Linked DNA regions of Tamandua tetradactyla. Each later gene encodes a partner of the first gene's protein in a complex. Links are inferred from orthologs where the notes say so. Each region holds a gene or a part of one and is shown in the gene's direction. Other genes may lie near its edges. The genes, in order: APOOL, CHCHD6, MICOS13 and IMMT.

Region 1 (8,012 bases):
ACCGTCTTGTTAGGTCAGTTTCACCTCCTTGAAGAGTTGTTTTCTGTCCTTCCAATTGAAAGTAATTCCTACTCCAACCCAGTCATCACCTATAGTACTTAACAGCCTCCAAAACGAACTTGTTTTTTCTTGATAAAAAATTTTACACTTAAACTCCTCCAGTCTAGAGTTTGCCTATGTTTTATTCAGTGCTTCATGCCCAGCATCTAGAACAATGCCTGACAGTGATGCACCAAAGGTAGGGGTGGGAGTGCATGACCCTGAGTGTAGGCAATAAAGGGGTTGGATTATCTGTTAGAGAACTTAAAAAACAGTAATTGTTCTAGTTTGCTAGCTGCTGGAATGCAACACACCAGAGATGGATTGGCTTTCAATAAAACGGGATTTATTTAGTTAACATATAGTTCTTCAGAGGAAAGGCAGCTAACTTTCAACTGAGGTTTTTTCCTTACATGGGAAGGCACAAGGCAATCTGTGCTCGTCTTCTCTCCAGGCCTCTGGGTTCCAACAACTTTCCACGGGGTGATTCCTTTCTGTATTGCTGAGCTGGAGTGCTGAGATGAGGTATGCTGAGCTGCTTGGGCTGTGCTACATTGAGCTCTCTCATTTAAGCACCAGCCAATTATATCAAACATCATTCATTGCAGCAAGCACACCTCTTAACTGACTGCAGATGTAATCAGCAACAGATAAGGTTCACATGCCATCAGCTCATGTCCACAGCAATAGAACTAGGCACCTTCACCTAGCCAAGTTGACACCTGAACCTAACTACCACAGTAATAAAATGTAATAAAGTCATTGTGCTGTTAATCATCACACACTGCCAATTGTAAACAATAATGATAACAAAATCTTCTTCTAACAACCTATTTTTGGTGTAAGTACCTAAACAATTTTTGTGGTTACTATTGAGTTTTAATAATATATGTCATATTCAAATTATTTATTTTAATAACCTATCCTTTAAAAGACATTGTATTCAGCATTAAAATTAATGTGAAGAATTCCAAGTTTTACAATAGATTTCTAAAACATGAAGGCTGTTATATGCATTTCTTCAAAGGATAATTTCACAAAGGTTCTGAATTGTTGGAACTCTTCTTGGGTGCAGTTTATGTCTGCAGCCCCTGTAGTACTGCATATCCCTGTGTTTAAACAGTAGATTAGAAATAAAAAATGATCGCTCAAGTGATTGCAAAAGAGAAAGACATAGAACCTGGATTACTTTAGTTTTGCCATCTATGTGACCACTGTGTGTGTGTGTGTGTGTGCATGCTTATTTATTTGTGCTAAATAATTTATTTATTAATTTATACTATAATTTATATATTTAAATATTTATTGAAACAATTAAAAATATTTACATATTTAAATATAATTGTTTAATAATTTATCATGTTTTTGTGTTTAAAAGTTTAGACAGTGAAGGAGACAGCTAACTATGAGGTGTACTATTTTTGTTTTGTCAATTCAACTTTTAATTTACATATAAAATATTTTCTTGAATTTGAATTTTTCTGGTGTGAAACTTTAGTTGAGGTTAATCAGATAGAAAAATATTTAAAAACAGCCAGAATCAGTGGTGAACAATGCACAGATTAAAAACTAAGCTTTAAATTGTTCCTTGAAGATTGGGTCATAAAAATTGGGAAGAAAACTATTTACTATATGTTTTGGTTTGCTAAAGCTGCCAGAATGCAGTATACCAGAAATGGGTTGGCTTTTATAATGGGGATTTATTAGTTTATAAATTTACCATTCTAAGGCCATGACAATGTCCAAATTAAGGCACCAACAGGATGATAACTTCTCTGAAGAAAGGCCACTGACATCTGGGGTTCCTCTGCCAGACAGCAAGGCACATAGCTGGCATCTGCTGATGGTCCTTCACTTCAGGGTTCCATTGCTCTCAGTTTCTGATTTCAGTGTCTCTCTCTCAGCTCCTCTAGGGAGTTTCTCTTTTTGCAAGCTCTCTTGGCTATTCTGTGTTTTATCCTGTCATAAAGGACTCCAGTGAAGGATAAAGACCCACCTCAGATGGGCTGGGTCACCTCTCAATTGAAACAATTTAATCAGAAGGTAACACCCTCAATGGGTCTGACCCCATAGGGATGGATTAAAAGAACATGGCCTTTCTGGGATACATAGTAGCTTCAAACCAGCACACTATGTGTCTCAGTTTGCCAGGGCTGCTATGACAAATACCACACAATGGATTGGTTTAAACAACAGAAATCTATTCTTTCTTGGTTTCAGAGGCTAGAAGTTGAAAACAAAGCTTTTAGCAAGGTCATGCTTTCTCCCAGAAGACTAGCAATCTGCTGATGGCTTGTCATAATCCTTGGGGGTTTTTTGGCTTGCATCTTGGCCTCCCCTCACATGATGATCTCTTTCTCCTGGAATCTGCTCTTCCGGTTTCTGCTAAATTCCAGTTTCTTCCTTTGCTTTTCTCTAATTTTATTCAAATTTCCTGTCTTTGTAAGTCCTTCAGTAATATAGATGAAGACCCACCCTGATTAATTTTGGCCTTACCTTAACTAATAATAATATCTTCAAAAGGTCTTATTTACAAATGGGTTCATGCCTACAGGAACGTGGATTAAGATTAGGAACATTTCTTTTGCTGGAGTACATGACCCAATCTACCACACTATGCAACTTCATGATATAAGGAAATCGACATTTACATGGAAAAATAAATTGTAATGTACAATAGAAGGAAAAATGACATAAGATGTCTGTCTGACATTGCCAGAAAAAATCAAAGGGGCAGTATTTGAATACTCAGCTGTTTGCACAAAGCACTGAATACCTATTCTAAAGCATTGGATCAAATGATGTCAAAGTTTCCCCTCATTCAGATATTTTCTGACTTTTTACAGAAGAAGAAAAACTTTTAAAGTTTTTACAAACTACTATAGAAATGTATGATTCATTTTAGGGGGAGATACTTTAGGTGAAATTTTCAACTGTGGAAAATTTGAATGCCCATAGATTTGATCTTGAAGAAACAAAGACATGAGTGGTATTGTAATTCCTGGAATTTTTGTGAAATAAGATTTTATGAATCTCTTTCAAAATTATTCACATATTGAGACTTTTCCTAATTATTTGTATAAGTGTTGCTTAATGTGGAAGTAACTTTATTGATATTAAAATTAGTAGAAAATGTACATCATCTATGAACAAACATATATTGACAAATCAGTCTATATCATCTATTGCATATGCAGAGATGATCAGTTTTGATGAAGTCATTGAAAAATATGCAGATATAAAGGCTCAAAACAAAATCTGTGATATTATTATTTGTTAGTGTGGTAGACCAACATGTATATATCAGCTTTTCCTCTTTTGAAAAATATAACTCACTTAAAATGTATTGATCATAACTTTTTTCTAGTTCATTTTTGTATTATACTATTTACTTTATTTTCTGTTTTATTTTTATGCTGACATATATATTTATGAAGTTCACTAAAAGAAAATTTTCACTTTGTGTTCTTAAAAGATTTCATGATTATTTGTTAAAATAATTTTGTTATATAGAGGAGGGGGCTGTTAGAAATGATGTTCTTTGGGTATCAGACATGCTAGGTATGCCACTGATGCATTTAATATATCGTTTGCATTTAATAAATATCTGTTGAATAAATGAATTAATATTGGGAATGTTAATGGGAAGATTATAAACCCCTTCTTTCTTCAGAATCATTCACTAGAGGCCTAGGGGACCTTGTACTTATTGAGAATGTTGCACCTACCCACAGGATATTTTCCTTACACCATCCTAATCATCTTCTTAAAATCTAACTTAGATCATGGCATACCTCTGCTCAACAATCTCCAAAGACTTACCATTTTATTCAAAATAAAATCCCAAATCCTTATCGTGGCACAAAATGTGCCCGACACAATGTGTAATTTCACTACTTCTTAATTTATCACTCCAGTCACACTGATCTTTTTCGTTGCTTTTCCTTCCTCATGGAATGCTATTCTCTACATTCCTTCAAGTCTGTTTTCAAATATCATCTTTTCCAGTCTTTCCCTAATCTATCTAAACAAGTAATCCCCGACCCTATTTCTGTTCCGTACCCTGAAAAAGTGCCTGCCACATAGTAAGCGCTCAGCGACAGTCCGAATGATTGAACTTGCCCATGTATCGAGGAAATAACATGTTTCTTTTTTAATAGTTATTAAGGCAGCTGAACTTAGGTATTAAGTCCTTACTGAGACAAATAATTTATGTCTGAAATGAAAGGTTCTGAAACCACAAAACAGCTCTCAACTGGAGTATGGAAAACGTTCTGAAGGACTTCCTCTGGGACTGGGAGATTCAACCGCGAAGATAAAACCTTTCCAGAAGACAGCCAACCAACTGTAGTAACTTGTCGGAGCTGTTCCAGGAGGGCGGAGAGAAGGCGGGAGTGGGCAGGTCAGGGACGTAATGGGGCGGGGCTGCCGTACGCAAAGCCGAGGTGAATTGTTTTGTCCCTCTCTGCTCTTCGTATAAAAACTTGGGCAGCGAGGGTCACAGACGTGTCGACCATTACGGTAAGTGAAAAAAACCTAGCTTACTTTTTTGGGTGCAGATAGCCTTGTAATAACTTAGAAGGGATCCTCCTAACTTCAGAAGGTAGCCGTAGAGCAAAGGGCCGGGTGGAGGTAGGGTTGTAGGAAGATCGGCAAGGTCAGGGAGTCGATATTTGAAATCCAGATCCTCGAAATCCAGGCCTCAATTTGCCTTCAGAGTTTTCTCTCCGTGAGACTGCTTTCTCTTCAATTGCCTGCGGTTAACTTCTTATACAGAGGTACGGTAAAAACTGGAAACGGCTGGGTGAGCAAGGCACCTCTGTTGCTGGGCGACGAGCCGCAACAAAGGTTTGAATCTTGAGCTGGAACAAATTAAAAAATAATCGTGGGCATAACCCTATTGAAGGACTTTGTTCAAATATTATTTCGGGCGAAATAAACCAGGATAGAGACGCCCCAGAGCCTCCTTGCCAGTGCGCGGGTTTATACGTACTGCTACACTGTAGATTCAAATAGGACCTAAGTTTCTTTTGACTTCTATAATGGGAAAAGGCACCTTTACTTAAAGTCTTTGTACAGGAAATGACTCAGCTGGCTGCTACAGTTCCCTAACAGGGTTTCAATGGCAGCAGTTGACGATATTTACCTCGCGAGTTTCAAGTGTTAAATATTCTGCCATGCTCGCAGGAGATTCAAATATGAATAATTCAGGTTAGCCAAAGTTTATTTTAAGTCTGCTGAATATGTGTCTTGAATAGTCATCCTCACAGCATTTCTGAAATTCAGGCTTTCATAATTTATCTGAATTATTGCAATAGCGTTCTAATTGGACCTGCCTCTAGCCTAGCCCACCAGGAATCCATTCTCCTCTGCGCTGCCAGAGTAATTCCATTAAATACGAATCTGATTATGTCCCTTACCTACTTAAAACTCTTTATTGGCTCTCTGATATCTGTCCTCTAAAGTCAGGTTCAGACTGTTATGCCTAGAATGCGAAACCCTGTCTTGACTCTCCAGTTTCTTTTGCCACTCAGGACCCCTCTCCCATCAATACTGATCTACTTGCTTCACCGCTCCGTAATTTTTAACCTGTTCTTTCTCTGGGCCTGAAGTGCCCTTTCCCATCTTCATCTACTTAGTTCCTACCCATAGTTCATCAATTCATTTAATGTACATTTGAGCGCCTTCCCATATGATAAGCACAAACTACTTTTCCAAGAGACTGTCCCCAACCTCCCCAAAGGTTCCTGGGCTACTCTTACCTTAGCATTTATCCACTGCAAAAATTGAGTATTTACTTGTCTGTTCTGCTCTCCTAAATTATAATCTCCTTGGGTCAGTAAATATGACATAATAATCTTTGTATTCTCAATACCTAGCACAGATCTGGCCTAAAATAGGTAATCAGCAATTCTACATGAGTAAATAGGTGCCAGGAAATGATGATAGAATAGGTTAAATTAAGCAGTGAAGATACAACAAATGACTGTGATTCAGAGAAAGGGAAATGCCTTGCTTCAGGAGAAGTAGAGAGTGCTCTGAGGGTTTAAAAGAGAACTCACTCTTGGTTGAGGGAATAAAGAAAAGCGTCACCAAGGAGGTACAGAGATGGAGAAGGAATAGTCAGTGTTAGAAAGCAAATCGGAATGGTGTGTTGTCACTGAAACCTAGAGGAAGAGAGAGTTGAATGTGTCTTTTTATTTGACCACTAAGAAGTCACTGGCATTACACTACATAACCAGTGAACCCTAAGTTAAACCATGGACTTTGAGTAATAATACACTTGTAAAAAATTGCAACAGATGTTCCACAGCAAAGCAAGTTGTTGGTGGTGGGGTGCTATATGGGAATCCTGTGTTTTATGCATGTTTTTTCTGTAAACCTTTGATTTTTCTAATAAAGAAAAGCCACTGGCAACTACCATTTATTAAATGTTACTACAGTCCAGGCACTGTGCCCAAATACTTTACACATTATTTCACTTAATTCTTTTTTTTTTAATTTTTTTATTAATCAAAAAAAAGAAAAGAAATTAACACAACATTTAGAAATCATTCCATTCTACACATGCACTCAGTAATTCTTAGTATCATCACACAGATGTATGATCATCATTTCTTAGTACATTTGCATCGATTTAGGAAAAGAACTAGCAAAACAGCAGAAAAAGATATAGAATGTTAATACAGAGAAGAGAATTAAAATAATAATACTAATAAAAAATATATATATATAAAAAAAGGAAAAAGAAAAAAAAACAAAAGATACAAACAAACAAACAAACAAACAAAAAACCATATTTCAGGTGCAGCTTCATTCAGTGTTCCAACATAGTTACATTACACTGAGGTATTATTGTGCTGTCCATTTTTGAGTTTTTGTATCTAGTCCTGTTGCACAGTCTGTATCCCTTCAGCTCCAATTACCCATTATCTTACCCTGTTTCTAACTTCTGCTGGGCTCTGTTACCAATGATATATTCCAAGCTGATTCTCGAATGTGGGTTCACATCAGTGGGACCATACAGTATTTGTCCTTTAGTTTTGGGCTAGAATCACTCAGCATAATGTTCTCTAGGTCCATCCATGTTACTACATGCCTCATAAGTTTAGTCTGTCTTAAAGCTGCACAATATTCCATCGTAGGTATACGCCACAGTTTGTTTAGCCACTCGTCTGTTGATGGACATCTTGGCTGCTTCCATCTCTTTGCAATTATAGATAATGCTGCTATAAACACTGGTGTGCAAATGTCCGTCTGTGTCTTTGCCCTTAAGTCCTTTGAGTAGATACCTAGCAGTGGTATTGCTGGGTCGTAATCCATTCTGCCATTCTATGTCTTTTGATTGGGAAATTCAGTCCATTAACTTTTAGTGTTATTACTGTTTGGATAATATTTTCCTCTACCATTTTGGCTTTTGTATTATATATATCATGTCTGATTTTCCTTCTTTCTACACTTTACTCCATACCTCTCTCTTCTGTCTTTTTGTATGTGACTCTAGTGCTACCTTTAGTATTTCTTGCAGAGCTGGTCTCTTGGTCACAAATACTCTCAGTGACTTTTTGTCTGAGAGTGTTTTAATTTCTCCCTCATTTTTGAAGGACAGTTTTGCTGGATATAGGAGTCTTGGTTGGCAGTTTTTCTCTTTTAGTAATTTAAATATATCATCCCACTGTCTTCTAGCTTCCATGGTTTCTGCTGAGAAATCTACACATAGTCTTATTGGGTTTCCCTTGTATGTGACAGATTGTTTTTCTCTTGCTGCTTTCAAGATCCTCTCTTTCTCTTTGACCTCTGACATTCTAACTATTAAGTGTCTTGGAGAACGCCTATTTGGGTCTAATCTCTTTGGGGTGCGCTGCACTTCTTGGATCTGTAATTTTAGGTCTTTCATAAGAGTTGGGAAATTTTCAGTGATAATTTCTTCCATTAGTTTTTCTCCTCCTTTTCCCTTCTCTTCTCCTTCTGGG
Region 2 (7,928 bases), on another chromosome or scaffold:
ATAACTATCACGGGATGAGGTCACTAAGTGCCAAGCACTGGGCAAGCTCACCACATAATATGGACCCCACTCTTAAATCTGTCAGAAAACTAAGGCACAGAGAGATGAAATAACTTGCCCAAGGTCACAGATCTAGAAAGAGGCAAATAACAGATCTGCAACCTGATCTCATATCAGAGCCCACTTTTTATAGGGCTGTGCTATTCTACCTCCAGGTGACCATACTGTCACAAGCCTCCTTGGCTAGAGCTAGGTCATTTCCAGGTGTCAGGGAGAAGAGAGTCTGGGGAGGTAAGTATTGTTTTTACCCCCCAAGTGCAGACTTTTCTTTTCTTTTCTTCTGTTCTGAAAAATGGCAAACATTGTAAGGATAACATAATGGATTCCCAATATATTTCAACTAGACTTGCCTGTTTTTCCCTCTGAACCATTTTGAGTACAAGTTGCAGATACCATGACACTTTACTTCCAATCCAAGAATATTAGCATTAATTCAATAATGTCATCTAAAACACATTCTATATACAAATTTTTCCAATTGTCCCAAGTATCTTTTTTATAGCTCTGTTGTTGTTGTTGTAGGAATCTGGGATCCAATTAAAGTTCACTGTTGCATTTCATTGTGATGCTTCTTTCATCATTTTTAAACCACCTTTTTTGTTTTGTTTTTCATGAGATTGACTTTTTTCCAAAAAGTCCAGGCCAGTTTTGTGGGAAGTTTCACATTCTGGATTTGTCTGATTGCTTCCTCTGGATTAGATCCAATTTACATACTTTTGGCAAGAATACTCTACAGGAGAGGTAGGATACTTTTTATTGCATTATATCAGAAGGGAAATTGTGTCAGCTTATCCCACTATATGTGATGCTAAATTTGGCCATTTGTTACTGTATTCCAGTTTTCCCATTGTAATTAATAAGAAATCTGTGGTGAGACTTGGGAATTGGGTGAATATCCTGTTCCCTGATGTCCTGGTTTTCCCGGGCTGCTATGATAATATCATGAACTGGTTGGCTTAAACAATAGTAGTTTATTGGCTCACTGTCTTGGAGGCCAGAAGTTCAAAATCAAGGTCTTGACTGTCCATGCTTTCTGCTGCATTCTGCTGTCTGTAGCATTCTGTTGCTGGCTTGCCACACTCCATGGGGTTCCTCCTTTATATGGCAATCAGCTTCATTTTCTGGCTTCTTGTGGCTTCTACTAACTCTATCCAAACTTCCTCTGCAATAAAGACTCCAGTCAGATGGATTAAGACCCCCCCCCCCCCCCCACCGCCCGGATTCAGTTTGGTCTCAGGTAAATAAGATCTTCAAAGACTCTATTTACAAATGAATCCACACCTTAACCAATAATAATATCTTCAAATGTTCTCATTACAAATGGGCTCATACCTATAGGACTGGAAGTTAGGACTTGAAATGTCTTTTGTGGGAAACATGAGTCAATCCCCAACACCTAATAACCTTTCACCCAACTGCTTCAGAATCCATTAATGATTTTTGACTGAATCATTCACTGAGGGCTGCAAAATGGTGATTTTCTAAGCTGACATTCCTTCTGCATTTATTAATTGGTATTCTTTTGTAAAGAAGAGTTTTCCCCCTTTTCCCCCATTCTCTCTCTCTCACTCGTTTGTTCTCACACTCTTATATCAAAATGAACTAATTGATTTTTAAAAAATTAAATGCGTTGTAAGCCATTACTCTCTGTATTCTTTTTGATGTTCAAAAAACTGTCCCAATTTTGGTCAGTGGGAGCCTAGGAGATTAGATTTTTTAATTAGTCACACTCCTGCACTAAAGGAATTGGGGTTGTATTGTAAGGAAGAAAGAGAGAATGGGTACCAGGCAGCAACTATTGGGCCTGTTATACCACTTTATCTCCCCGGAGTCTCGGTTTCCTGGGCTTTAAAATGAGGAATAACGCTGGCAGGGTATCTGTGAGGACCAAAGGAGATGGTATGGATTAAATTCATGAAAAGCATATGTGCCATAGAGTCTAGCACAAAGTGGGTACTTGAAAAAATATGAGTTTCCCTTCCTCTCCTTTTCTCTACATTCCTATTGCTACTGCCTTTATTCGAATCCTCATCCTACTTTGGATTTATTGTTACAATATCTTAGCCTGTTTGCCCCTCTGTTTTCCTTATCTGTGAAATGGGGATATTGAACTTGTTGCTTTGTTATGAAGCTTACCTATGCCTTAAGGGTAAAGCCTACTCTAGGCCTTGTGGAATTCAAAATTACCTCCCAAGATTTTGCACACAGTCTTATGGTCACCCTTGGCTCTGACTTTCGTTTTGCTGAATTAGTTCAGTGTATTAATTATATCATCACCTGACCCAGAAGTGAAATCCAGCTCTTTCCTCAAAACCTCCTCTTACAATCACAGAAGAAATGTAAGTGTCCTGGAGATTCTGAAAAATATTTGGAGCATGTAGTAGATGCTGATAGTGTTCTACCCAGGTTACCTTTACCAGCACCTGTTGTGGGTATTGGGCTGTTGGCAGTTCATAGCTGGCCCCTTTTCTGGAAAAATGCCCTGGGCCACCAATGATGACTGATGTGGGGGATACAGAAGGCTGACCCCCTTGCCTCACTGTGGGACCAATTCTGTGGTGCAATTTGTGCTTCAGAGTCCCCCATGGGATCAGGCTGAAGATAGCCTTCTGCTGAGACGACATCCTTACTTAGTGTTTATCCTCTGCTTTATTCTGCTTCTTTCATTTCCTTTCTTGAGGATACTCCCCCAGTAAACCTCTTGCATTGGAATTTTGACTCAGGCTTTGCTTATAGGGAAGAAGAGATGGAGGGGGATTTTCAAATTCAAATATTTGAAGTGAAACTGGCAGATATCTTTGCTCCTGACAGTCTCTCTTGACTGCCCTGCCTCTGGAAATGTTCACTGACTTCTTCACCCCAAGCCTCAGAATGTCTCAGCGGTCTCTACTCCATTCTGTGTTCTTCACCCTTTCCTTCCCTGGTTGCCAAAAGGAGCTCCAAACACTTCTTGCTCTTTCATGTAGCAACCCAATACTTTCCAGCTCTAGATTCCAAACTCAGTTCCAGGCCCACACTAACAAATCAAAGTTATTCAGCATCTTAGATGAACACAAGGGGTCTTTATTTATGATAGCTATGGCTGTAACAGCAATTATTTGTGTTTCTCCACTATATATAACATTGTGGATAAGAAGTACAAACACACCGTACTTTGTATATGACATGCATGCTTGCTGGACAATATCTCCCATTTGCTTGGGACTGTTTGCCGTCCTCACAAGGCATCTAGAATAAAATGCAATCCATGACCCTGGACTACAAGGCCCTACAAGATCTGGCGTTGCCTGTTCCTCCGACTTCATTGCATCTGGGACTACTCTTCTTTTTTTTTTTAAATTTTTAAATTGTTTTAAACGTAAAAACATATAAACACAAACATTCTTACTATATGATCATTCCATTCTTGGTATATAATCAATAACTCACAGTATCATAACATAGTTGTATATTCATGACCATGATCATTTCTTAGAATATTTGTATCAATTCAGAAAAAGAAAAAAACTCATACATATCATACCCCTTACCCCTCCCTGTCACTGACTGCTAGTATTTCCATCTACCCAATATATTTTAGCCTTTGCTTCCCCTATTTTTTTTCCTATACCCCTTACCACTCCCTTTCATTGATCACCAGCATTTCAATCTCCTAAATTTATTTTAACATTTGTTCCCCCTATTATTTATTTCTTTTTAATCCATATGTTTTACTCATCTGTCTGTACGGTAAATAAAAGGAGCTTCAGACACAAGGTTTTCACAATCACACAGTCACACTGTGAAAGCTATATCATTATACAATCATCTTCAAGAAACATGGCTACTGGAACACAGCTCTGCAGTTTCAGGCACTTCTGTCCTATTTGTATGAGGCTTAAGAATAACTTCCAGGATAACCTCTCCACTCTGTTTGGAATCTCTCAGCCACTGACACTTTATTTTGTCTCATTTCGCTCTTCCCTCTTTGGTCCAGAAGGTTTTCTTAATCCCTTGATGCTGAATCCTAGCTCATTCTAGGATTTCTGTCCCACGTTGCCAGGAATGTCCACACCCCTGGGGGTCATGGGACTCCTTTTCTTACCTCTTGCTTTCCAGCCATGCAGGCCCTCTTTTCTTGAACGTGGCAAGCTCTTTCTGCCTCAGGGCCTTTGCACTTATTCCTCCCCACTCATCCTTCAGTCTCAAGTCACATGCTTCTTCAGACAGGCCTTCCTTGCCCTCTCAATTTAAAGTGGGCCCCTTCCTTTTAATTTCTCTCACGATATCCTGATGCAGTTTTCCCTGCATAGTACTTATTGCAGTAGGTTAGTAAGTTTATTTACTTGCCTATTTTTGTTTTCATTTGCTTCATTCATTGCACTGAAAACCCCACAAAAGCGTAAGTCTTGTGATTTTTGGGTTCCCGGGAGCTAGGCGCTGGATGAGTTCTGCTCAAGAAGTAATCAATGATCAGAAGTTCGTCCCCAGACCTTAGGCTCAGCTCTCTCGGTGGTCTGTGGCCTCGGGACCTCACCCTGGGCTCTGCTTTCAAGGTGATCGATCTTTTCAAAGCGGGAACTAGACCATAACTGCCCTGCTCCTCAGCTTCTCATTCAAGATCTCCTGCCCCTAGCCGCCCTCTTTCTGGGTCCGCGCGAATCGCCGGGCACCGGCCTCCCACAGCCTGGCACCGGTGAGACTACACGGGTGCCGCGACACCTGATTGGCTGAGCTTCGGGCGGCAGCCAATAGGACGTGGCTTTGTTGGTTCACATCGGCAAGGAGGGCTGAGGCGGAAGCCGCGAGTCTTGGAAAGTGTAGGGAGCGTGAGGCGCCTGGAGTCTGGCGGCTACCTGGTGGCTTTGGAGCCTCTTGCCATGGGCAACGCTGAGAGCAGCGAGGGCCGCAGGGTGTCCTTCGGAATGGACGAAGAGGAGCGAGTCCGGGTGCTGCAGGGCATCCGGGTGAGCGGCGCCGCCGGTGGGCTCCACGAGCGAGCGATCGGGCGCGGCCTGGGTCGTGGCGGGCACTGGGGCTCCTCAGGGCGCGGGGGACCGCGGGCCGGGCGGTGGGGAGGACGCGGGGGCCGAGAGAGCGGCCTTGCGGGGGCCTGACGCGCGGCGCTCGTTGAGTCCAGTCAACTGCCTGGTGGCGAGTCTTTCTCCCTACACTTTGCCAAAGAGGAAAAATGAGGCTCGGTAGATGCCTAGGGTCGCACGTCCAGGAGTGACTGCGCTGGGACGTGAGCCGAGAGCCGGCGGTCTTCAGGCTTCACCACGACCTGGGCGCCGGCGAAGAAGGGGACAAGCGGGGAGGCCACTAGGATGCGAGGGAAGCCTTGGGCCACGTATCACAGCTCCTGTTGACTTAACTGTCACACTTCCTGAATGTCCTCCGCCCCACCCCTCCTCTTTGCACGCGCGTGTCTTGTGTGTATGCCTGAGATGCTTCCGATCATGGACCACTGCAACACTGGACTGCCTGGACAGTCCATTTGACACGCAGCAGCCAAAGGGCCCCTTTAACAGCTGTAAATCAGATCATATACCCTTTTCCTTGCCTAAAATCTGCCAGTGGATCCCAAGCACATATAAAGTAAAGAGAAAATGCCTTGTCTTGTTTTACAAAGCTCCCCTGTTCCTTGCCGACCCCTCTGACCACATCTGGTAATAGTTCCCTGGCCTCCCATCCCCTTCTAGTCACAATGGGCCTCCTTACTCTTGGTAGGAGATGCCAGCTACAAGCTCAGGACCTCACCATTTGCTCTTTTCTCTTCCTCAGCTTTTCTTGTACCTAGCTGGCTTGTCACTGATGTTGTAGCTAAATATCATCTAAGAGAGTTTGTCCTTGAACATTAAATCTAAAGTAGCTTCTAACTCCCGCACCCCCCTGTTTATTATTTTCATAGCACTCATCACAATTTGAAACTAATATTGATTATTTGTTTACCTCCTTTGTTGTGTCTGCCACTACAGCATAAGCTCTTTGAGGCTATTGGCGGGTTCGCTACCCAATTCCCAAACCTAGGATAATAAAAGCAGCTCATATTTGAGTGCTTAGAGCGGGGTGTGTATTGTGGTAAACTGTCTATAGGTATAATCTCATTTAGTTCTCAGGCATATGAGATAGGCAGCATTCTGTTAGCCCCATTTTGAAGATTAAGGAAAACTGAGACACAGAGAGGTTAAGTAACTTATCTAGGGCCACCTAGTTAACAAGTGGGAGAGCTCGGATTGAAGAAGGCCAATCCCAGGCCTGTTCCTTGAACTGCTGCTCTATACTTCCTCCTATATAGTGGGTGCTTTGTAAATATTAGTTGAGTGATTGCATGAATTAACCCAGTGAAGCAGGGACCATATTTAGATAGAATGTACAGAGCTGGGTGTTAAGTGAATTAGTCCATTGGGGAGGGAGGTAGATCAGAAAAAGACTTGAAGAGCTCTGACTTCTACACCCAGATGCTCATTAGCTGTTGTTCTTAGGTGAACAACCTTACTTTTGAGCCTCAGTCACCTTATCTAAAGGAAAAAATGGGAATGTAGAGATACTGTCAGTTCTGCCCAGGATAAGATGAAGATGTATGGGAAAGTGGATAGAAAAAGTACAGAGTGCTTTGTGCGGAGCTTCTGTTCTTAGCCTAACACAGTACTTGGTTGGCACTTCGATGCTCTATAGGTCATATTGTTTTGACCTGGCTTGTGTCAAGGTTCCAGTGGGGAGGAGATGGCTTATAGTAAAAGATCGATTTTCTGGAACCTAACTGGAATTTAGAAAGAAACTCTTGGCTCCATTTGGGTGTTCTGCCACCTGTGTTACCTCATCTCTTGCCTTTGGGAATGTTGAAAAGTTAGATAAGTTGAAGTCTCCTGAGGTTTGGTGGAGTCCCTTTGGAGGTTCTTTTAGTGGACAGAGGGTAATCTTTTTGAAGTATTACATCAAACGGGAACATTTTATTTCTAATTCTCTTACCAATTCTCCTTAAAATGTATAATTTCTATTTAAAGATGAAGAATCAGGCTAAGAAGTTAAGGAATTTGTCTAAGGTATTGCCGGAGTAACTTCTGGAACTTTATTCTGGATCTTTTGGGCTGCAAAATAAACCCTTCCCTGACTTACTCCCAGTTCCATCCATCCCGTGATATGCAAGGCAGTCTGAAAAACGACAATGTCTCTGTCCTGAAAGGGACACTGGTGCCCCACTTATTTCTATCCGAGACTTAAAACTAGAAGGAACTCTAGTTAACTGTTTAATTTGACTGCTTCCTTTTCCAGCTGGGAAAATAAATCAGTAAATGACTTGCCCAGGAGCATACATTGAGGTCCGCAGCCTCATGCTTTCAGAGCCACTACCTTCCTTCTGCTTGCTTGTGTAGCTGGTTTGAAAGGGGAGGAGAGGAGAAAGGAGGGTGATGATAATGAATTGTTTCAAGGAAGGGGCTTTTCCTGTTAGCAAAGTTCCTTGAGAGGCAGGGTGCTCATCCTGCCTTTAGTAAGGCAAATATCAATTGAAAAGATCAACAACAGAGAGTACCAGAGTGGACAAATGAGAAGTTAATTTAATGGGCAGAAAAGGGAATATTTGCCCCTGCTCCTTCAGAGAAAGTTTAATATTCTTAATGACTTGTATTTAATCTCCTGGGCCTGGTCCTAGAACATGATCTAGTCCCCTAAAAATTAAGTGCCAGGGCCTTGCTAATTTACATTCTTGTTTGCATATATTTGAATAGCTGTTCAAGCCCTAATTCCTTGGAATGGAAAAGAAATTTAATTAATGCAAAATACTGCAATCATATTCAGCTCCAGTTTTGAGAGCAAGCATGCGTAAAATACATAAAGATTTTGTTTCGACCAGCACATTTAACCTCATCCTCCATTAAGCGAACACA
Region 3 (7,374 bases), on another chromosome or scaffold:
GAACTCTGGGATATCTAGCCTCGGGCGGAAGCACGAGCTAGAGAGGCGCGCGCGGCACGCTAGCGCCCCCTCACGGATGGTTGCGGCGACCTCCCTGAGCATGCGCCACCGGGGTCCCTGAGATCGCGCGTTTACCCCAAGGAGTCCTATACCGGACCTGGGGACCGATGGGCGTGCCGGAGGCCGTGGTACCTTCCTCTGAAGTTCTGTGTTCGAATCCCGCTCTGACCCGCCCCACTACCCACACAATGAGCGGCTCACTCCCTCCAAGCTCGCCACGTTGCAAGCCTCTTCCAATTACCCCCTGTCCAGAGCGCCAGGGCCATGGGCAGGCACCGAGCTGTGAGGACACCACCTCCCAGGGAGTCCTTGTCGGCCGCCAGGCTGGACAGCCCAACGAGGTCGGCTACACGTAGCTCAGGAGGTTCACCTGCCGGGGGCGCCTCAGAGTGACCCCACCGAGGCGAGGTCAGAGGAGGGGGCGGGGCCCAGGCCCGGAAGAGGGCGGAGCCTGGGTCCCGGACGCGAGGGGTGGGGCGACGGTCAAGAGGCGGAGCCTAGGCCCGGAATGGGTCCGGGACCAGGGAAGGAGGGAGCGGAGCCTAGAGAAGGGGGCGGGGACAGGGATGCGAGAATTTGCGCGCGAACCTGGGGACGGAGTCCTTGCCAGGAAAGGGGCGGGCTCTGGGGCCGATGGGGCGGGGCATCTTCATGAGCCAGATTGCAGCCTGGGCACTGCGAGCCCGCTGGTCGGCCGAGGCGGCGCCGACGTAGGTTCAGGACCCGAAGAGGCCGGTCAGCCCAGGGCTAGTCCCTGAGGCCCCACCCCCTGCACCCGATGAGACCTCACCCCCAACCCCCACCCCGATCTGGCCTAGGGCTCCGACCCACAAGCTCCACGCCGAGTGATGCCCTCTAAGACCCCTGAGGTCCCGCCCCAAGCCCGACTCCCCGGATCCTGCCAGGCTTCGCTCCCTTTGCAAAGAAGCACCTTCCAGAGCGCCGTCCCCGCGTGCGACGAAGTTCTGCCACTGGCCACGCCGCTCGGCGGGCACCCGTCACCGCCACTCCTTCACCAGGCTCGGGACCTGCCTCAGGCCCCGCCTCCACCCAGCCTGTCCCGGCAAACTGCACCGCGTGCTCGGACGCCTCGGGCGAGGCCATGTCCACGGGGATATAGAAGACCTCGGGGGTGGCCAGCATCCGGCAGGTCCCTACCACCTAGGGGACCAGAGCTGCCCCTGAGCCCCTCCGCCCCAGCTGGCCCCACTCACCTACCGGACATCTTGGGTCCCCACAGCGAAGCCCCGATTCTGAGCATTGGGTCCTGCTCAGTATCAGCCCCAAAACACTGGGCTCCCAAACTGGCAGCCTTGGGACCAGGATGGCTGGGCATGTTTTATGTGATCAATCACCCACCATCGAAAACTCCGGAGATGGCACATAACTCCGCAGATTTGGGGCTTCTCTTGAAACTGTGGGAAGTTTGTGCCCAGGATAGTTCTTGGGCTGCTGAGAAGCTTCCACCAGCCCTCCCAGACCGTTTTTGAGTTTGAGAAGCCTGACATGGGGCACAGGCTTTGGACACATTCAGTATTCCTATTTATTGCTTCCCACACAACACCAGAACCCATGAGCAGGCACTTTGATCGTCTTCATTTTGCAAAGGAGGAAACTGTGGCCCAGAGAGGTTAAGCAACTTGCCCATGGTCACACAGCAAGCAGGGATGGGAGCAGGACTTCCAACTAGGCCTCCGTCCCCCTACCATCAAAGGTGTCCTGGGGTGGGGTGGCTCACCTTCTGCAGGAGACCCTGGCGTGGGTGGTGAGCACCAGGTGGGCATAGCAGTATGCCAGTTTCTTGGCCACACCTGCACTGGCACCTGTCAGCAGCACTCAAGCTCCCTGGAGGCTGGCCAATAGGGAGCAGAGGGGATAGCCTGCGGGGTGGGCAGGACAGCAGACCTGACAAATTCCCCCACCCCCATCCTACACCCATGCACCCACCTGGGTCGAAGCTGTCATCCCAGTAATAGGCAAAGAGCTGGGCCCTAAGGCCCATGAGAAGCAGCACCTTCATGGCTTTTCCAAAGCCTGCTGGGTCCCATTTCATTTAGCATAAAACTCCAACACCAAAATAGCCACATACACAAAAAAAGTCAGGAAAGGACCCTCACAATCCCTTCTGCCAGGCCAGCCTCTCTGACACTACTCAAGCCAGCCAGGCACCAGCCTGCCCCAGGGCCTTTGCACTCGCTGTCCCCTCTGCTAGAAAGCTCCTCTGAACATATCCAAATGGCTTGCTCTTTCCCCTTCCTTCAAGTCTGTGTGCACAAATGACCTCCTCAGAGGGGGCTTCCCTGGCCTCCTTTTCTAAAGCTCCCCCCCTCCTCATCCCTCTCTCTAGCACTTTGATCTCCTTCTCAGCATCTGTTGGCCCTTGAAATTATAGGGACAATCTGTTACGTTTTCGGGCCCCTCGTCCAGTAACAGATCAGTTTACTTACTTCTGTTTCGCTCACTGTGTCTTTAATGCCCAAAACAGTGCTAAGTACACAGTAGGTGCTCAACAGATAACAGAGTAACAGAGAGTGATATGAAGATTGTATGAGACGAGAGCTGGGGGAGACATCCCAAAAGAACTGGACAGCCAGGGCTGGCTGGTGACATCTGGGTTAGCTGTAACTTCAGGCCCATCACATCTGGGGTTTCTACCCTCTGAACGCCAGAATCTAGAAGGCTGACAGAGCCTAGATGGGGTGGGGAGCGGGTGTTTGGGGAGACCCTAAGTCTGTAATGTCTACATCAGCCCCATGGCCTGAGCCCCTACTGCAAAGCTCCCACCACCTCCTGGGTGTCACCCTTTGGCACCCTTCGTGCCCTTAGATGCAGCAGGGCTCAATCTGAGCTCAGCATCTGAAGCCAAGCCTTTCATGTCACCATAGCAAACTCCCCACTATCTCCCATTGCCAAGTCAGCACTGACCTCATGTTCTAGTTTGCTAGCTGCCGGAATGCAATATACTAGGAATGGCTTTTTAAAAGGGGAATTTAATAAGTTGCTAGTTTACAGTTCTAAGGCTGAGAAAATGTCCCAGTTACAACAAGTCTATAGAAATGTCCGATCTAAGGCATCCAGGGAAAGATACCTTGGTTCAAGAAGGCCAGTGAAGTTCAGGGTTTCTCTCAAGGGAGAAGACACATGGCGAACACAGTCACAGTTTCTCTCTCGGCTGGAAGGGCACATGGTGAGCATGGCATCATCTGCTAGCTTTCTCTCCTGGCTTCCTGTTTCATGACGCTCCCCAGGAGGTGTTTTCTTTCTTTCTTCAAAGGTCACTGGCTGGCAAACTCTCTGCTTCTCATGGCTATGTTGCTCTCTGCTCTCTCAGAAATCTCCATTTTCCAAAATGTTTCCTCTTTTATAGGACTCCAGAAATTTATCAAGACCCACCCAAATGGGTGGAGACATGTCGTCACCTAATCTAGTTTAACAAATACTTTTGATTAAATCATCAGGGAGATCTAATTAGTTTCAAACATACAATGCTGAATAGGGATTAGAAGAAACAGCTGTCTTTACAAAATGGGATTAGGATTAAAACATGGCTTTTTGTAGGGTTCATACATCATTTCAAACCAGCACGCCTCACTTCCTCACAGCCTTTTCCCCACCATGGTCTGATGGTGCACGGGTATTGCCAGTTCTCCCTCCAAAATCTTTCTCCAACTGTCCCCTCCTCTTTGACCCCAGGGCTCCCAATTTCACTGCTTCCCACCTGGACCCTTTACGGAGGGGGGGGGGGGGCCCTGCCTGAAATGCCCACGGTTCCCTGACTCCCACTTCCACCCAGCCTCCCCATTCTACATATGCTTCCCACCACTCCTCCTGGGATTCCCCACCTCCAACCCAGGCCCCCCCACCCCCGACCTCCCACCCCATCCTCTCCATGAAGCCAGCCAAAGGAGGCGGGATTTGACAGAAGGCCTGACAGATGGATGGACGGATGGACTGATGATGGATGGATGATACAGCTGGGTCGGGAGGCGGGAGGTGTGCCGGGGAACAGGCTCCTTACAGAACCCACTGGTCCCTCAACCTCGTCAGGACTCAGTTTCCCCTCTGGGCCAAGGGAGCGTGCAACGGACTCACCCACTCGGGCCTCAGTTTACCCCGCTGTACAGCCAGGCGCGCGGCCCCCTCGCTTGGGGCCCGAGTCACGTGACCCCCCAAGCTCACGAACCCCTTCGGGGGAAGGAGCCAGACAGGGGGTGTCTCCGTGCCCAAGCGTTGCCATAGTAACGGCTTCCGCGTGGCTCCCTGGCCCCGCCCCTCGGGGCGCATTCACGTGTTCGCGGTCTATCCTCTCGCCAACAATTCCGCCCTTGTGTTGCCGTGACGACTGCTCTCTAGGCGTGCTCCCCGAGGAAGGGAACATCAGTACCCCGCGCGGGCGCGGGTGGATCTCCCGGGCTCCGAAACTTCCTTCGGTCCCCCTCAGTCCTCGCTCTAGACTTCCAACACCTCCATCCCTCACGCCGCGGGAGCCCGGCCAGGCGGGACTACATTTCCCAGGAACTTTCGCGGCCGGGTTTACCGTCCCGCCGCTGCCTGGGGCGCTGCCGACTACACTTCCCAGAAATCCTTGCGGCGGTCAGGGCAGTAAAAACTACATTTCCCAGCGGCCGTTCGCGAGGGTACCAACCACCCTCCCAGGGATCTTAGAGCCGGGACAGTAGTCTAGGCCTCCGACTCCCGGAGGGCTTTGCGGCTGCCAAGAAAAACTACACCTACCAGAGGCCTCTGCGGCACACTACCGGAAGCGGCGGGCAAGGCGGGTGTCCTTGTGCGAGGAACCGAGCGACTATGGTGCCCCGAGTGCTGTCGCTGATGAGGTGCGTGGGACCGCCGGTGCGATGAGAGAGTCCCCTCTCCTCCCTCCAGCCGCCCGGGTTTAGTCCTGACCTACTGTTCGCTTCCCGTAGTGCCAGCGCCGTCCCTCCACAATGGGCCAGATAGGGAAACTGAGACTCGGGCGGGGAGGACTTGCCGAGGCCACCTAGCGTTTCCCTCCTGCCTCCTAGCCTCGCCCCGATCTCGTGGCTTTTTGCATCCGAGACGCCCCTCCGAGCCTCAGTTGCCTCTTCTAACACATCTAGACCCTGCGGAGTTCTTATTGGGAGGCCAGTCCGCTCCTGGAGTGGCGCGTGACGTTCAGGAACCGCTCGGGGACGTTAGGACACCCCCGCGGGTTGTTCACAGAGCATCCCTCCCTGGCCTGGAAGCTAGAAGGATCTTAAGTTCTTCCCTTTCCCTTGTTCCCTTGAACAAGAGACCTTGAGGGACCCGCTGCCCATTTCCGGGCCTCGGTTTACCAGTTAAATGGTGTTGGAAGTCTCTGCTTTGCACCCCGGAAATGTAAAACCGTGCACAGTAGGGGTCAGACACGCCTCTGGGTTTCCACAGCATCCTGTACTTCCTCTCTGAATTGCCTAGATATAGGTGTGTCACCTTCTGGGTTAGGAACCCCAGGAAGGCCCAATTCCTCCCTGTGGATTTGACAACTGAGGGCAGCAAGCTTTCCCACTGATCTGTCACTCCCTGTGCTGCCTGCAGGTTCCTCATCAAGGGCAGTGTGGCTGGGGGCTCCGTTTACCTCGTCTACGATCAGGAGCTGCTGGGGCCTAGCGAGAAGAGCCAGGCGGCACTTCGGAAGGCCGAGGAAGTGGTCCCCCCAGCCATGTACCAGTTCAGCCAGTACGTGTGTGAGCAGACGGGCCTGCAAATGCCCCAGGTACCAGGAGCTGGACATGAGGCCAGGGCGGGTGGGGAGGGAGGTAAATTTAGGGGTCACTAAAGAGCCCTTCAGCCCTGCTTGGTATCCTGTGCACTCAGGGGTGCATATTCCTCCCTCTGCCTTGGGAGGCATGTTGAGGGCTGCCGAGCCCTTCCCTTCTCACTAGCCCCTTTTTCTTTCCAGCTCCCGCCTATGCCAAAGTTTAACCTTCCCATCCGCGATTCCTGGAATTCAGGTAAGCACCTGGTCCCTGTGTTTGGGGATGGTGGGGGTTGCCCTAGCCTAGACCCCAGAAACCCCAATCTCCATGCCTTCCCCCTCCCTGCTTCCTGGTCCCCTTTTCCATTTTCTCCCTACTACATATGTGCCTTCCACAATTTTAAAAGAGGGGAAGTGGGAACACAGAGAAGTCTCTTGGAGCTGGGCTGGGCATTGCCGGGCTCTAATGGGAGCCGTGGATCAGGAGGTTGGAGGCCTGAGGCCATATCAGATCTCATCCGGTGACCTCAGACAAAGCAAGGCCCTACCCTTCCTCTACCTCAGTTTCCCTGCATGCAGTTGATGGGCAACTCCCCAGCCTTGAGTTTCCCGGGCAAAGGCGAAGGGGAAGCTTCCTCTGCTGGGCCCTTATCAGGCAGCTGTATCTCCCAACAGGTATCATCACAGTGATGGCAGCTCTGTCGGCCGCCCCCTCCAAGGCCTGCGAGTACTCCAGGGAGGGCTGGAAATACCTGAAGGAGCGTACCAAGTAGTGTGTTGGACCTGAAGACTCCAAACTGGGACCCTACTCCAAGGGCAGCTCATGGCCTGGCAGGCCCAATAAAGGACTTCAGAAGTGCCCCTGACCCACGTGCCAGCCCTGGGGCTTTCGGGGTGCTCCAGCTCAGGCCTGCCTGGCCTTGACCATGGGCTAAGGTTCACCCCAGTCATTGCTTCCTGGCCCTGCCCACCAGGGCCCTCAACCTGGCTGGGAGTGTGAGAGCAGAGGATTAATCCTGGTGCTCTCTGGACAGTGCTCTGGGCCCCGGGAGAGAGTTGAGAAAGTGCAGAGGGCGAGTTCAGGTTTAGAGTGGGGCGATGTCTTGGTTTGTGGAGGGCTGGGCTCAAGGTGGGGCATTCCAGGAGCAGCAGCTCAATGGGGCAGGCAGAACTCACCATCTGCCCCAGCCAGGAGCCCTCTCCAAGACCCCTGCCTTACCTTGCCATCCTACCCTTTTCTGGCCTGGTGGTTATTACTATTTGGGGGTCCCTGAGACACCTGCCCTGCACTGGCTCAGCTGCGTACTTCCCCACCGTCTCAGTTTGCCTAAGCTGCACTGACAAGCACTACCCCATGGGTTGGCTTATACGTCCGGGGTTTTTTTTTGTTTTTTTTTTTAACATGTCACAGGTGTAGTGCCCAGAAATGCCAAATCAAGGCATGGGCAAGACCATGAGTCCCCTTGGAGCCTGCAGTGTTGTGGCGCCAGTTTGCCGCAATTCCTGGGGTCCCTTGGCTTCGTCGCTGCCTCTATCACACGGTGAGGTCCTGTGACTTACTCTGATCGACTGTGCCCGAATTTCCTCTCTTTATAAGA
Region 4 (8,653 bases), on another chromosome or scaffold:
ATTGAGGTCATCTATTTCTTCTCAAGTCAATGTTGGCTGTTCATGCCTATCTAGAAAGTTGTCCTTTTCATCTACATTGTCTGGTTTATTAGTATAAAGTTATTCATAGTATCCTCTCATTACCTCCTTTATTTCTGTGGGGTCTGTGGTTATGTCTCCTCGTCCATGTCTGATTTTATTTATTTGCATCTTCCGTCTTCTTCATTTTGTCAGCCTTGCTAAGTGTCCATCAATCTTATTGATTTTCTCAGAGAACCAACTTCTGGTTTTGTTGATTTTCTCGATTGTATTCATGTTCTCAATTTCACTTATTTCTGCTGTACTCTTTGTTATTTCTTTCCTTTTGTTTGCTTTGAGGCTAGTTTGCTGTTCTTTCTCTAGTTCTTCCAAGTGGACAGTTAATTCCTCGATTTTTGCTCTTTCTTCTTTTTTGATATAGACATTTAGGGCAATAAATTTCCTTCTTAGCACTGCCTTTGCTGCATCCTATAAATTTTGATATGTTGTGTTCTCATTTTTATTTGCCTCGAGATATTTACTAATTTCTCTTCTAATTTCTTCCTTGACCCATTGATTGTTTAAGAGTGTGTTGTTGAGCCTCCATGTTTGTGAATTTTTTGGCACTCTGCCTTTTGTTGATTTCCAACTTCATTCCTTTATGATATGAGAAAGTGTTTTGTATTATTTCAATCTTTTTAAATTTATTGAGACTTGCTTTGTGACCCAGCATATGGTCTATCCTTGAGAATGATCTATAAGCACTTGAAAAAAAAAGGTGTATCCTGCTGTTGTGGGGCGTAACGTTCTATAAATATCTGTTAAGTCTAGCTCATTTATTGTAATATTCAAATACTCTCCAATCCTGAACACAGTATGCCCTTCCATTTATTTAGGTCTTCTGTGATTTCTTTTAAAAAATTCTTATAGTTTTCTTCATATAGGTCTCTTGTCTCTTTAGTTAAATTTATTCCTAAATATTTTATTCTCTGTCTAGATGTTCTGTCCATTGATGAGAGTGGAGAATTGAAGTCTCCAACTATTATACTAGATGTATCTATTTCTCTTTTCAGCATTTGCCTCATGTATTTTGGAGCACTCCGGCTCAGTGCATAAATATTTATGATTGTTATGTCTTGTTGAATTATTCCTTTTATTAATACATAGTGTCCTTCTTTGTCTCTTTTAATTGTTTTAAATTGGAAGCCTACTTGTTGGCTATTAGTATAATTACTTCTACTCTTTTCTGATTGTTGTTTGCATGAAATATCTTTTCCCAATATTTCACTTTCAACCTATGCTTATCCTTGGGTCTAAGATGCGTCTTCTGTAGACAGCATATAGATGGATCCTGTTTTTTAATCTATTCTGCCAGTCTATGTCTTTTGATTGCAGAGTTTAATCCATTAACATTTAGTGTTATTACTGTAAGGGCAGTACTTTCTTTTACCATTTTGCCTTTTGGATTTTATATATTATACCTAATTTTTCTTCTCTTTACCTTTGCTGATTGTCTTCATTTCTACACTCTTCACCACACCTCTCTCTCCTGACTTTTCCTATCTGTCTCTAGTACTCCCTTTAGTAGTTCTTGCAGTGCTGGTCTCTTGGTCACAAATTCTCTCAGTGATTTTTTTTGTCTGAAAATGTTTTAATTTCCCCCTCATTTTTGAAGGACAACTTTGCTGGATATAGAATTAGTGGTTGGTAGTGTTTCTGCTTTAGTATCTTAAATATATCATCCCACTGTCTTCTTGCCTCCATGGTTTCTGCCAAGAAATCTATGCATAGCCTTATTGAGCTTCCCTTGCATGTGATGGATTGCTTTTGTCTTGATGCTTTCAAGATTCTCTCTTTCTCTTTGACATTCTGATTAGTAAATGTCTTGGAGTATGTCTATTTGGATCTATTCTGTTTGGGGTACACTACACCTCTTGGATCTGTAATTTTAAATCTTTCATAAGAGTTGCAAAATTTTCAGTGGCAATTTCCTGCATTAGTTTTTCTCCTCCTTTTCCCTTTTCTTTTCCTTCAGGGATACCCACTACATGTATATCTGTGCACTTCATGTTCTCATTGAATTCCCTGAGTCCCTATTCATATTTTTCCATTCTTTTCACTATATTTTCTTTTGCTTGTCAGATTTCAGATGTCCTGCCCTCCAGTTCACTAATCCTATCTTCTGCCTCTTGAAGTCTAACATTGTAGGTTTCCATTTTTTTTTTACTCTTCTACTGTGCCTTTTATTTCCATAAGTTCTGTGATTTGTTTTTTCAGACTTTTGATTTCTTCTATTTGTTCATTCCTTGCCTTCTTTATATCCTCCCTCAATTCTTTTATTTGATTTTTGTTGAGGGTTTCCATGTCTGTTCGAACATTCTGAATTAATTGTTTCAACTCCTGTATCTCATTTGAATTCTTGGTTTGTTCCTTTGACTGGGTCATATTTTCAATTTTCCTAGTATGATTCGTTATTTTTTGCTGGTGTCTAGGCATTTAATTTACTTAATTAGTTTATTCTGGAGATTGTTTTCACTTTTTCTTACCTAGAATTTTCTTGGATGACTTTGTCTATCTGTTCTTTGACCTTCAGTTCAGCTTAGTCCACACCTCTAGCTTAAGTTTTGTTTAACAGATGAGAATTTTTCAGTTCTTGTTTTCTTGTTTCTTGCCCTGCCTGTATGGTGCCTTTTTTTCCCCTTAGGAGGGTCTACTTAGGTATTATACCAGTCAGATTTTCTCATACCAAACTGGCCTCCTGTCAGAAGGAAAGAGTCTCCTGTGTCAGTTTTCCCCGTGGGTGAGAAACAATGGATTGAAAGGCTTTCCATGAAGCTCAGATGTGGCCTCTCTCTCTCTAAGGCCAACTCTGCAAGTGAAATCATTGTCCTCTCCCACTATGTGGCACATGACATCCAGGGGTGAAAGTCTCCCTGGTGACACGGGAGATGACTCCCAGAGATGAACCTGGCCATGGCACCATGGGATCAACAATGCCATCCTGATCACAAGGGAGAAAAGAAGTTTAACAAATCAGGTCTCAGCAGCTGAGAGAGGCTACCCTGGAGATCACATTTATGCAAGTTTTAGTTAAACATTGCTACCTAAAATAACTTGCCAACTCCCAACTCTGCCAATCCTAAAGAACCCCTAGGGTGTTATATAAGATTCTACAAAGGTTCTATGTAGTACAGTAACTTTGCAGAAACCTACAACCTCCAGATGGGTCCCTGAACCAGATAAATCCTGAAATGCAGAGGGGCCAACCTCTCCAGAACATCAGTTAATTCTGTCTCCCTATCCCATATTATTGATAGCCCCTTCCAACATGAAAAAGTTACAATGGGCACAGCCCAAATACCCCTTAAGAGTGAGAGAAAGATCAACAGTTATGGTAGAGTTATACAGAGAAGGTAGGGTTTAGTAAATGCGATTGCTGGATTATTATATTGATATTTCTTTTAGTCTACAGTATCTTAGAGCAGTTAGAAGTAAAAACCTAAAATTGTGAAATGGTAACCCATAACAAAATCTGAAATTTGTTCTACAACTAATTGTTGTGATGTGCTTTCAAATTTTTTGTATATGTGTTATTTTTCACAAAAAAAGTAAAAAAAAGTTGCACTAACATCACCACCAACCACTATGTAAACATATCCATCACTCCCAACAGGAATCCTGTGTGTATATATATATATATATATATATATATATATATATATATATATATTTTTTTTTTTTTTCTTTCTTTTGCATGGCCAGGCACAGGGAATTGAACCTGGGTCTCCACCATGGAAGACAAGAATTCTGCCACTGAGCCACGGTGGTTCACCCAAGAACCCTGTATATTTTAAGCCTTAACTTTTCATTCCCTATTCCCACCCCATCCCTAGATTCTGATTCTATGATTTGCTTATTCTAATTCTTCAATATCAGTGAAATCAAACAATATTTGCCTTCTTGAGTCTGGTTTATTTCACTCAACATGATGTCTTCTGGGCTTTTCATGTTGTCACAGGAATTAGGATTTCATTTCTTTTTTATGGCTGAGTAATATTTCATTGTATGTACATATCACATTTTATTTATTCATTCATTGGTTGATGGACACGGGTTGCTTCCATCTTTTGGCAATTGTGAATAATGCCACTATGAACATCGGTGTGTACTGATAATATTTTAAAGCATAACAATGAATAGATCTGAAAAATTCCATGTGGATTGTGAGATTAAGGACTTGAGAGAAAGGGTAAGTAAAAGGGTAGGAAATAAGTGAGAGGCTAAATGGGGGTTTGAGATCTTAACTTCAGAAGGGTCACTAATGATGTTCAAACCCAAGATATGGCTGTCCCATACATGGATAGGGCTGAATGAAATTGCTCAATGGCACTAAGAAGTTCAAAGCCAGGATGTCAGAAGAGTAATCGAAATGGCACTACCCAAGCCTGACAGTGATGAAGAGGGACAGAGACGGACAGATCATGATTCAGTCACTAAAGTTACTTAGGAACTTGGGAAAACACTCTGTAGTTGTTGGGTGGCAAAGATGCATAACAGAGATAAAATGCAATTACTAAAGCACCCTGATAGCATAAGATATACGCAAATGTAAGTAATTATTTGATTTTAGATAATTTTAAAATCCATTTCTCCATTTTACAAAAGGGAGTAGTATTGCTCTTTACCTTTGGGTAGGATACTATGTCATCAATTACCTAGTTAAGACTAGAAAGAATTTGAATACACGACACAGGCTATTTATTAGATAAACCAAAGATACTTGTCAGATAACTTAGTTTCGATAATGTTCTGATTATAAGATTAATACTACTAGTAGTAATGAATGCCACGTTCAATATTTAATGTCGTAGTTTGATTATAGATTCAGCGGTATACTTTGCACAACAGTGCGTCTGCACTGACCTCCTTATCTTCTAATCTACTCCACAGACCCGGTCAAAATCACCCTCTTGAAATTAAAACTTGATGGAGAAACCGGTGAGAGGCTCAATCTAGAAGGAGTAGAAGCTGTGGAGTCCGACCATACAGATTATTACCCCTGCCCTGACACTAGATAACGTGAACAATACGTTCTGCACAACAGTCCATCCAGTTCACCCATCTCCTGCAGTCAGGGTAAATCCCTGAAGGGCTGTCAAGCGAAACATACGCAAACCGAGACAAAAGCATTGTTTAAGTAAGTCTGGCCAAACCGATTCGTTTCTACGAAATATTCAGCTGACAAACACCGCTGAGCTTCCTTGCTTTAATTCTCTGCAGTGTCAGACCTATCCGTATTCAGCGAGGGGCTACAGAGCTGGAGCCGCACGTAACCCGGAAACAAAAGTCGCCCTTTCCGCCTCCTTCCACCAATCGTCTCCGACTCGTAATCTCCTCTACAGCCCCGCTTCCGAGTTAGCCCATTCTATCGGCAAGGGGCGGGGCATGGAGCTGCGTGTGCGCAGGGACGTTGGTCGGTCTTCCGGTGACTGCGGCGCGGAGGGGCGCCGGACGTACGCACGCACGCCGCCCTGTTGCCCACACGCCTTCCCTTAGGCGCACCGCCCCGATAGCTGTCTAGTACTCCAGCCGCGCTGTTCACCCGGCCAACGAGATGCTGCGGGTCTGTCAATTGTCCGGCGTGACCGCCGCCGCCCAGGTGAATACAGGGGCTCTGGGAGAGAGCCCCGGAGGCGAATGACTCGGGGCCGCTAACGGAAAGTTGGGGTGGCTTTGGCGCTGCGTAGGCCCCGGCTCGACGCGCGTCTAAGGGCCGCCCTCCTAGCGAGCATTTCGGGAGGGGCTGGTGCGGCAGTGAATTCGGGAGTCCACCGACTGGGGTGACTGGAGACCCGAGGGTTATCGTTGAAGCCGGCGGTGTGGCTAAGTGGCGGGGAGGCGGGCACAGGGCTAGGCGGGGCTTCGGGCTGTGCGGTCCAATCAACCCCGTGTCGGCCCAGTCACGACCCAATCCCGGCTATGGCTCGCCGTCGCGGGTTGGACGCGCGCGGCTAGGTGAAGGTCGGAGGGCTGGACTACCGTTCCCAGCAGCACTTGCGGTGGCCCATCCTGGGTGCTGCCGCAGTGAGCAGGTGCCTACAACTGCTGGGCTCAAGGTTGTAATTACCCGGGAGGGACTGCCCTTCTTTCCCAACAGAGAATACCTGGGAGCTATTCTTACTCTAAGCAGAGTTGAAAGAGTCTAGCTTTTGGAGCCCAAACTCCTGTTAATGGAGAAAGGATGGGAGTCATGACCTTGATTTGAGGTCTAAGGTTAGCCTGTGTCTCCAGGTGCTGACATAACTTTGACCGACGTTCAAGGAGCCTAGACACCAAACCACTTTAAGTTTTCATGAGTAATCAAAGTAACTTACTAACATTACTTTTTTTTTTTTTTAAAGTAGGGCTATTTCCATTGTTCAGAGTTTACTGCGGATTGGTAGTTCAGTGAGATGTGTTGCAGTAATTGAACAAAATCTGTAGGCCTACGGAGAGAGAGGACATAAAAGTCAAACTTTGATTTTTGTTTTTGCTTCCCTCCAGGTTTGTGTCTTTCTGCATTTGTTGCCGTGGAAAAGAGAAGCAGCCTTTTCTGTGTGAAAGTGTGGCTGTATTAATTTTCAGTTGTTGCTTAATAAATTAACAGCTCAAAACAATGCCCATGTTTTTCGTACAATTTCTGTAGATTAAAAGTTTGGGCGTGACTGACTGAGCTGGGGTCTCAGCTCAGGGTCCATACGTGGCTGCAGTTAAAGTGTTAGCTGTGGTATGTTCTTGTTTAGAGCTGAGTATCCTCTTGCAAGTTTATTAAGTTTGTTGGCAAAATTCAGTTCCTTGCAGCTGTAAGATTGACTCCTGTTTCCCTGCAACTATTGTCAGAGGCTGCTGACAATTCCTGCTTTGAAACTCCCATAGGGAGTTTATAACATGGATGTTTGCTTTCTTCCAGGCCAATAGTAACTTGTCTCTCTGACTTTAGAATCTCTCTTTTCCTGATTCTTACCTCAGACCCTAATTTAAAGAGCTTATGTGATTAGTTCGGGCTCAGTTGGATAACATCCTAATTGATTAACTTAAAGTCAGTTTATTAGTAACCTGTATTGCATCTGCAAAATCTGCCCCCCACCCTTTTTTTTTCTTTTTGCCACAAAGCCCTAGTTATGGCACACCTTTTCTCATTTTGCTCTCTGTTTACATCTTGGCTGTCATTGATCTAGACTGTCTTACCTAAACTCCAAAATTACTTTTTCCTTTTGTTACTTTTATCAAAATACTTTCTGCTTATTGGGATCCCAATTAGGAAATAAGAAAAGTGATTAAAACTTTAAAGTGAACCCTGAAGCTCTCAGTTAAAACTTCTAACCTTCAAATTGTTAACTTGTAAAATGCGTTGGTTTATTCTCACACTCACCTCCGTCATTCTGCAGCATTTGATATTGTTGCTTTATAAAACTCTTGGCTTCTCTCACACAACGTTTTGGGGCCCATTTTACCCTTCATCTCTTTTCTGTGTTTCTTTTACTGAGTCTCATTGCTTATCTTTATATACTCTCATACTTGGAGTTATATCAGTTCTCAGAACTTTAACCCCTAATCAGATGACACTCTTCTGTTCTCTTTTGAGCTTTATACTCAAATTTCTGAATTCTTGTTTTAATTTTCCGGCTTTACCCAGAATATTCCACTTGTTAAAATCCTTTTCATCCCATAATTTAAAATGTTTCCTACTTTTTATCTTGCTTTCTACTGTCAGTTTATTACATAGTGGTTAGTAAAGGCTTTTAAAAAGCATATAGATCATACCTGCCCTTCACATCTCTTCACACTCAGAATAAATTCTAAACACCTGATCACGCCCACCTGGCCCTTCGTGATCTGGCTTCTTGCATATCTTTTCTACTCTTCCTCACACTATACCACTGATATCTCTAGCACATGCCTGTCTTTTCATTTGTTGTTTCTTTTGCTGGGAAGTCTACCTACACAGCTGTGCTTAGCTTGCTCTCTTCATTCAGCTTATTTTTCTCAACCTTCTCAGAGAGGCTTTCCTTCCTATTATTTCTTCAACAGACTTTGTTACCACTCAGTCCTTCTTGTATCACTCTGTTCTTACCTTTCTTTTACTTTGTAGCTCTTACTACTACCTAAAGTTATAATGTATATTTGTTGCATGTTTCCCCCATTAAATTGTAAGCTCCTCAAAGGGACCTCAAAGGGACCTCAAAGGGACTGTGTCCATCTTGTTCACTGCTGTATTTCCAGTACCTAGAATAGGTATTACAGTACTTGGCTCCAAGTAGGTGCTCAATAAATGCTTGTGGCATGCTTGGATGAAAGAATGAATGTGTTCCATCAATTTTTCTTATTCTCCATAAGTGAATGTTACCTCCTTTCCCCCATAGCTTTGGAACGTCTCATAGAATCTACTTTATTCTTTGTGTATGCTCATCATCCTCACATTCCCTGCATATGGATATTCAGCAGGAATGAGGTGTTCTCTTTTCCCGAGTGTGCTTCAGAACTCTGCACCTGAGCCTTCTTCAGTTTATTTCCCAGACTTCCATCTTTTTCTCAGGCCCATTCTAATATCACCAGGTCCAGCTTTTCTGAAGTGAGCTTTACTTCAGGAGTAGAGGCTTTGAATTAGGAGAACCCG

The links.
Region 2: APOOL (region 1) and CHCHD6 share a complex: the UniProt entries of both Homo sapiens proteins name them as parts of the mitochondrial contact site and cristae organizing system (MICOS) complex. The link is inferred for Tamandua tetradactyla from reciprocal best matches to the Homo sapiens genes APOOL and CHCHD6.
Region 3: APOOL (region 1) and MICOS13 share a complex: the UniProt entries of both Homo sapiens proteins name them as parts of the mitochondrial contact site and cristae organizing system (MICOS) complex. The link is inferred for Tamandua tetradactyla from reciprocal best matches to the Homo sapiens genes APOOL and MICOS13.
Region 4: APOOL (region 1) and IMMT share a complex: the UniProt entries of both Homo sapiens proteins name them as parts of the mitochondrial contact site and cristae organizing system (MICOS) complex. The link is inferred for Tamandua tetradactyla from reciprocal best matches to the Homo sapiens genes APOOL and IMMT.

Annotation. Positions count from the first base shown.
Region 1 is NC_135353.1:85,011,727-85,019,738, reverse strand, and holds the start of APOOL (MICOS complex subunit MIC27), read left to right. Parts: upstream 1-4,461; 5' UTR 4,462-4,560; intron 4,561-4,566; exon of another isoform or gene 4,567-4,817; intron 4,818-8,012. UniProt on the Homo sapiens protein: Component of the MICOS complex, a large protein complex of the mitochondrial inner membrane that plays crucial roles in the maintenance of crista junctions, inner membrane architecture, and formation of contact sites to the outer membrane.
Region 2 is NC_135335.1:29,070,480-29,078,407, forward strand, and holds the start of CHCHD6 (MICOS complex subunit MIC25), read left to right. Parts: upstream 1-4,815; 5' UTR 4,816-4,919; coding exon 4,920-5,006; intron 5,007-7,928. UniProt on the Homo sapiens protein: Component of the MICOS complex, a large protein complex of the mitochondrial inner membrane that plays crucial roles in the maintenance of crista junctions, inner membrane architecture, and formation of contact sites to the outer membrane.
Region 3 is NC_135337.1:76,461,551-76,468,924, forward strand, and holds MICOS13 (MICOS complex subunit MIC13), read left to right. Parts: upstream 1-4,361; 5' UTR 4,362-4,866; coding exon 4,867-4,895; intron 4,896-5,616; coding exon 5,617-5,794; intron 5,795-5,980; coding exon 5,981-6,032; intron 6,033-6,451; coding exon 6,452-6,549; 3' UTR 6,550-6,635; downstream 6,636-7,374. UniProt on the Homo sapiens protein: Component of the MICOS complex, a large protein complex of the mitochondrial inner membrane that plays crucial roles in the maintenance of crista junctions, inner membrane architecture, and formation of contact sites to the outer membrane.
Region 4 is NC_135343.1:61,150,223-61,158,875, forward strand, and holds the start of IMMT (MICOS complex subunit MIC60), read left to right. Parts: upstream 1-5,403; 5' UTR 5,404-5,611; coding exon 5,612-5,656; intron 5,657-5,972; exon of another isoform or gene 5,973-6,113; intron 6,114-8,653. UniProt on the Homo sapiens protein: Component of the MICOS complex, a large protein complex of the mitochondrial inner membrane that plays crucial roles in the maintenance of crista junctions, inner membrane architecture, and formation of contact sites to the outer membrane.